Linked DNA regions of Drosophila melanogaster. The protein of the gene in region 1 interacts with the protein of each later gene in a pairwise test. Each region holds a gene or a part of one and is shown in the gene's direction. Other genes may lie near its edges.

Region 1 (3,756 bases):
AACTGGTATTCCTAGTCAGGAATAAATATATATTTATATTAACATCAGTGCTTACAATAAATTATTTGATCTTGATTTGATGTTCTAATTATTCATCCCAAAAAATATAAGAAAAATATTTTTTTTTTATTTTTATGAAGTTAAACCTTATATTGAAAATTATATTATTTTTTGAACATTTTTGCTTGTGCCATCAAGTTCAGTTTATGTTTCATGGATCTGTAATGTCTTTGCATACTTCCCACAATTGAATTTCCGCAGGTTTCACAGATTTTAATTTTGACACGTTTTTTCGACCTGCAGGGTGTTTTCAAGTGGGTCTGCTTAGTTTTTATGCCCATTTTCTTGTAGTTATGTGTACTTTTATTTGCTGATGTCATACATGTGTTTGTTGACGAACTTGCTTCAATATCAAGCTTTTCATCGGTGGTTCTTGCCCCTTTGCGGCGATTGCTATCTTTTGTTTTGTCATTATTTTTCCCGAACTTTACAAGGTTATCCTTATGGCTTTGAGATTTGCAGTGCCTGCGGTAATTTCCCTTCGATTTAATGGTCAGATCGCAAACTTCACACTGAACGGTGTGAACTAAAAGATGCACTGCTTTTCGGTGGGTTTGCATGGTGCCCTGACTGTAGAAATTCGCTCCGCAGATTTCGCAGGTGAAATTCCTCTTGTTCAAATGAGCTTTGTTCATGTGTTCCTCAAGGAAAAATTTTCTCGTGAACTTCCTATTGCAGATTTTGCAGACTGGAGTGGGTTGCTTCCTGCAGCCTCCCTTTGGAGGTTCTCTCAACGGACGCATTTTATCCCGATATTTTTGCATGGCTCTATTGCATTCCTTAGAGGTATGAGCAGAGCAGCATAGACGAGAGGTTGGTAGTTTGCATATTAGGCAGGGTTTTCTGCGTTCATGGATTCGCAGTACATGTGAATCGAGGGCAGACTTCAGTTGGAATCTCCATGTGCAGTGAGGACACTTAAAGGGGCGATATAGCAGAGTACTGAATGTTCTAACCCTCTGCTGGTGCTTACGTAGGAATTTCCGGGTGAGAAACGACCTGTTGCAAAAGGAACAGTGAAAAGGGAAGTTCGTATATAGCCTTTCCCGTCTATGCTTAACCATATGCAGCTGGTGGCTAAAGGAGAAGCCATAGTTCTGAGCGCAACTTGGACATTTGCTGAGGCTAGAAGTCTTTCGTTTTTGAATTGGATGTTTCGATTCATCCTTAAAGTACGATTGCAGGTCCTCGGCAACTGGCACCAAGATATCCTCTACCTTGTTAAGTGATAGCTCCAGTTCCTTCTCCTCTTGTGACTTCTGATTCTCCAGTAGTCGTTTATATCTCTTGTTTTCGTGAAGTTCCCGCGAGCTTGTGGATTTTCTGATTATGTGTGAGGTTAACGAGTGCTGCAGATAGAATCGCCTGTAGCATATCTGGCAGTGAAAGTTGTCTGAATAGCGATGCGTCTTTTGATGATCCTCCACGTCCTGCAGCTTTTTCCACGGTAGATTCTCACATTTGTAGCAATCGCAGCGCAGTCCTGGTAGGAATAAAGCTGCAATTTTGGGACGCAGAGCTCCATGTGCTTCCTGGCCTGCCAGTTGGCTAACTGAACGTCTGTAGCCGCTGCTCACTGTATCCAGAATGGCAGCTAACTTTTCCAATTGTACTTTGCGGTTCTTCTCTTCGAAGGCATCGAATATTGCTCGAAAATCGTCCTGTAAATCAGCCTTAAAATACTCATTGGTCCAGAAATTATCGCGTAATTGTGCTGTGCGCAGTAATAGCAGCATATCCGAGCTTCGGAAACGCATAATTTTCTGAACGTCTTCGCATAACTCGCTGGAGAAATCCGTTCCAAATATGGTCTCCCCTTCCCCATTGAATGCCACGTACTTCTCCCTGAATCCTCGACAGCACTTGCACTTGCAGTGGCAGGAAGCAGGGCATCCATATGGCTTCTTGTCAATGCTAAGGACTGGCAAATCGGTTGTAAAGTTTTCGTAGGTAACTAGCAGTTTGCCAGGCCAAGACATTAAGTTTACTTTTTTGTTTACAAAAGTTGAATCAACAAGTGGCTGTGTGACCAGTCACTGATAGCACAGAAGGGCCAAATAAAACTACCAATTAGAGGAGCTGGTGTCATCTCTTGCTCGCTGGAGTTGCCGGACTGCTGCAATAAACAGCTGTTCGAATTTCGGCGGCATTTTATTTCATTAACAATTGCGATTTTTTGAAAACGAAATATGGTAAAAACTAAGGGAAACCAAAAGATAGTCGGCATGCATCCACGTAATGTGTTACGCACGCAGCCCGACTATACCAAAATGGCTATAAAATACAAAGATTTTCGGCAGCAGTGCCAGTTGGTAAGTAAAAACTATTTGTTTTGCTTAGACATTGATTTTAATAAAATATTGCTTAATTTAGGAGCTCAATGGCAAGGTTTCTGTGAACTTTCGCAATGAAAAGACCCTTCGTGAGTTGACCAAAATGCTGTTGAAGGAATATTACGATTTAGATGTGGATTTTGCACCCGGAAGTTTGGTGCCCACATTAGCACTACGTTTGAATTACATTTTGTGGTTGGAGGATCTAATGGAACCTCTAAATTTGCAGAACATACGTGGTATAGATATAGGTAAGCTATGGTTAGTATGTCACAACGATTTACTAAGTGAATTCCTCACAGGCTGCGGCTCCTCCTGCATTTATTCACTCCTTGGGGCCAAGAAAAATGGTTGGCACATGTTGGCTTTGGAATCGAAACCGCAAAACATAGAATACGCCAAGGAGAATGTAAAGAGAAATCACATGGAAAGCCTTATAGAAGTCTATGCTCAACCAGACAACACGAACATCTTTAAGAGCTATTTTGAGCAGGATCAGCAACAGTTGCAGTATCAATTTTGCCTGTGCAATCCACCCTTCTTCGACTCGAACTTACCAAATCCCTTAGGCGGCAATACCAGGAATCCAGAGAGACGACCAGCACCCAATAATGCCAGAACTGGAAGCCAGGAGGAACTCACCTGCGTGGGTGGCGAGGTACAGTTTGTGCAACGCATTATAGACGAGAGTCTGGAGAACAAGGAGCGTGTGCGGTGAGTCAATCTTCATTAGCTGCTGAGATTGAATTAACGTTGGTTTTCTCTGCGTTGCAGAATCTTCACCACGATGCTGGGCGTCAAGGCCAACGTTCCAAGAATACTGGATTACCTCAAGGAGCTGCAGGTGGCGAATGTCAGCACCACTGAATTCCATCAGGGACACACGACTCGGTGGGCGGTGGCCTGGAGCTTCCACTCGGAGCCACTACAGCAGGGGACAACATAAAATTAAGTTACCATTAGCTCTGGTAGAGTATCTTTAAGATGGTAGGGGAGAAGTAGTTTAACTTATTTTGGATTTTATAAGATTTATTCAATAATTTCATTTTTATAGGCATCAGTTTTAATGTATAAGTTCTTGGAGAATTGCTGCAACTTTCGAATGTACTGTGACCTTCACCTGTGCTCATCCCAAAAAGCAACTCCAAGGCACCTAGAAAGCTTTCGCCTTAAATGGAAATTTGCATGTCAACGGTCACTTTGCCACCCAGCTCCACGAACGGAAATTATCGTTTCGCTTTTATCATTGACCACAGCTGACCACACACTTCGACGGAAAAAGGCAAACGGAGTCGAAATGGCAACCGAAATGGAGGCAAACACGCTCACTAAGCACAAGTTGCCGCCGCTGGTCAACACACCG
Region 2 (3,409 bases), on another chromosome or scaffold:
ACCCTTGGCCGCACTTTAACTGACCACTGGTCCTCACCTAGCCGAAACTATCATCGCATTGTTCGTATTTCTCTCCCCAGTCCATTTCACCGATAAGGGTCATCGTGCGGCACGCGCGGATGGTTAGGAATCTGTATGATGCGTGGTTGCAGCCGACACTTTTAGCCGATGCGGCAAACAAAACGAGGATTTCAATTTGCAAAAACATATATTATGCTTTCATTAAGCGGGCTTTGTTATGTAAATTGAGCAAAAGCATTTACCTCCAACCGAAATGGCCATGGCTGTGCAGAAATCGGAATAAAATCAATGGCGAAAACAATTTTTTTGCTTAACACCGTTGGGAGATACGTATGTATATGCGCACTTAAGAAATTACATATTACATATTTTAAAAAAGAAACACAAATGTAGCACAAGAGAGAATGCTATAGTCGAGTACCTTGACTATCAGATACCCGTTACTCATCTGGAAGTATGATCGAAACTGCGTCTATATCTCTACAATCCGCATGCTTAATCTCAACATTTTCTAGTTCCTGAGATCACGACTTTCATACGGACGGACGAACGGACAAACGGACATGGACAAATCGATTAGATCCAGGCAGAAGGGACATACTTTTCAACGATTCTAGTACAAGTAACGGGTATAATAAAAAATCGTATAGATACTTGGGTATTTTCATTATAGTCTTTCATTGATTTCCTTTCTAGTGTCCACTTATTTTCTGAAGTATATAAAAATTTCATTTCATTCAGCCAGAAAACAAATTAAATTGACTTTTAAATTTTATATTAGAAAGAAGAGTTTATTTATAGAAAAAGCGTACTACTACCACCTAGGCAACTTAATCTAATTATAAATTTTACTTATACGATCGAGCATGCGGATTGTAGAGATATAGACGCAGTTTCGATCATATATATATGTATATAAATAGAGGTAACTTGTATTGGGGATACGAGAGATAACCATTATAACAATTCGAAGGTCCGCGTTGGGGTGTAAATCCAGTCTCTCGTGTGATTTTTTTGGCCATCTTCTGGATTTTGTCCCCTATTTTTGTGACTGAGATCACGTTCGATATAAACATTTCTTATATACTAACGATCACCAGTGATTCTCACGTCCAGTGATTACTCGAACTTTTTTTAGGTGGGCTTTAGCTGCAAAACCGTACACTGGGATACCATAAAATAGGGCAGGAGCTGCTATGCAACAATAGCTCCTAATTTTATTTTCCAAGGACAGCCCGTTTTTTTTGGTGACATCAGCCACGTTTAAACTTATGCTCTAAATCAATTTTATTTGCACTTCAAGTTAGGGTCTTTTTTCGATTTTTATAGCATACTTACAGGCTTTGTAGAAATCTACATGCGTAAATTATCATGTAAACAAACATATGTATCTTATGTTTAATAATAACAACTTCTTAGGTATGGAAGTCCCGGCAGAGCTTTGAGTTACAATATACTGATTACGCCAACTTAAATAAATTTGAATAAATAATAAACTATGGGAAAGTAAAGCATATAAAATAAATTTACATCATGTGCTATATACAGTTATATTATTTCGGTATATTTATCATCTGTGCGGAAAGTGGTATTTAAAACGGTCACTCTAAGTTAGAAATTACCGCAAGATGTGGTAAACATTTTAATTTGTATGTTTTTAAAGATATAAAAGGGCAAGGGCATAAACTCATTGATATATATGTAGTGAGTATTTAATGAGACATCAATAGTTCCTCAAGTCATTTTAACATACCAATGAATTCTTATACTTTGGATTTCACAATGGATTTGGAGAACAACAACAATACGCCATTGACCGGCAAACAAGCCGAAAAATGTGCGAAAAAGCGAAAATGTGTAATAACATTAGATGAAAAGCAAGTGGAATCCAAAAGACTGAAAAAGGAGGAATCAAATGTGGAGGCCACAAGCCGTCCGCCTGCGCAGAGTCCCAAAAAACGGCTCCATCTAAACGGAAAGCCCATGCAAAACAAGGACCTTAACTTCAAGTACGGCAACTATAAGCACTACTACGGCAAGCGCATCCTGAACAAGGATTTTCACGACATACGCCTGGACGTGCTTGGCACGCAACCGGATTTGTTTCGGAACAAGCAGCTGCTTGACATCGGCTGCAACTCTGGCCACCTGTCCATCCAGATTGCCAGGAAATTCGAGGTTAAGAGCCTCGTGGGCCTGGACATAGATCGGGGGCTAATAAATGATGCCCAAAAAACCGTCAGTCACCTGAAACGTCACGCAACCCCGGGGCAGGGGATACCCCACATACAGTTTGTGCACGGGAACTACGTCCTGGAGGACGACGTCCTGCTCGAAATTGAACGGCCGCAGTTCGACGTCATACTCTGCCTGTCTGTCACTAAGTGGATCCACCTTAATTTCTGTGATTCCGGCCTGAAGCAGGCCTTCAGACGCATGTACCTGCAGCTGCGCCCGGGCGGCAAGCTGATCCTGGAACCTCAGTCCTTCGACGGCTACAAGAGGCGCAAGAAGCTATCGGTGAGCTTTATTAGACGGACAATCGATAGAGAATATTCTAATTTAATGTATGTACATTTATCTCTTCAGGAACAAATAAGAGATAACTACAATGCAATTAAATTCCGACCTGATCATTTCACCGAATATCTGCTTAGCCCGGAAGTGGGCTTTGCCGAAATGAAACTTATGGGCATACCGGAGCACTGCAAAGTAGGATTCAAGCGACCGATCCAAATTTTTACAAAGTCGTAGGAAATAAAAAGAAAATCAAGAAATGAAAATTATCTGAAAATTCAAGGGAAACCCATATATTTATTTACATCGATTACATCTAAATGTAATCAATACTACTTCATTCGCTTCACTTTACCAGGAGCGCTTGGTATCTTTTTCAGTACGTTGGGAATCCATTTCAGTAAATCGTCGTGTGTTAGCTGAAAATCACTGTCTGCCCACAAAAGTTTCAGTTCATCCATCACCAAACCAAGCCTCATTCCGTTCAGACCACGCTGAGCCAAAGCATTTCCCCTGATCGGGAAGTCCGGCTTGACCCACGACTTGAGCTGGTTGTAAAGTTCCAGTTTGCCAGAGTATTTCAGCAACTGTTCTACGAAATCCCTTTGAATGTACTTTTGTAAGCACAACTTCTGATAGTCACGCAGGGTCGTGTACTGTGAGCCAACCTAAAAAGGGAAACTGGTGTTTAAAGACGCAATTTTAACTTGATCGGATCGGTATTCTTACCTTCTCCCGCTCCTGGGTAATGAACCTAGCCAGGTCTCGTTCGTAGGCGGATAGCTTCAGGCGTTTGTGCATTTCCATGGCGTCTTCCACGGAGTGCAGCATCCCTGCCAAGTACAAAATCGGCTGATGTGGCTTTTCAAAT

What was found. The genes of interacting proteins can lie anywhere in the genome.
Region 2: the proteins of CG7544 (region 1) and CG1239 interact in binary tests that used the Drosophila melanogaster proteins (3 or more experiments, as listed by UniProt).

What each region holds. Positions count from the first base shown.
Region 1 is NT_033778.4:15,145,717-15,149,472, forward strand, and holds the start of CG7544 (uncharacterized protein), read left to right. Parts: upstream 1-2,143; 5' UTR 2,144-2,249; coding exon 2,250-2,372; intron 2,373-2,433; coding exon 2,434-2,644; intron 2,645-2,695; coding exon 2,696-3,107; intron 3,108-3,167; coding exon 3,168-3,339; 3' UTR 3,340-3,361; intron 3,362-3,447; exon of another isoform or gene 3,448-3,454; 3' UTR 3,455-3,756. Other genes in the region: CG8089 (uncharacterized protein), read right to left, coding at 165-2,039. UniProt on the Drosophila melanogaster protein: RNA N6-methyltransferase that mediates N6-methylation of adenine of U6 small nuclear RNA (U6 snRNA).
Region 2 is NT_033777.3:5,731,892-5,735,300, forward strand, and holds CG1239 (uncharacterized protein), read left to right. Parts: upstream 1-1,621; 5' UTR 1,622-1,725; intron 1,726-1,788; exon of another isoform or gene 1,789-1,795; 5' UTR 1,796-1,803; coding exon 1,804-2,541; intron 2,542-2,610; coding exon 2,611-2,775; 3' UTR 2,776-2,811; downstream 2,812-3,409. Other genes in the region: CG2100 (uncharacterized protein), read right to left, coding at 2,871-3,206, 3,268-3,409. UniProt on the Drosophila melanogaster protein: Probable S-adenosyl-L-methionine-dependent methyltransferase that binds and stabilizes U6 snRNA, probably by adding a methylphosphate cap at its 5'-end. Required for U6 stability, but not stability of 7SK snRNAs, other miRNAs or tRNAs.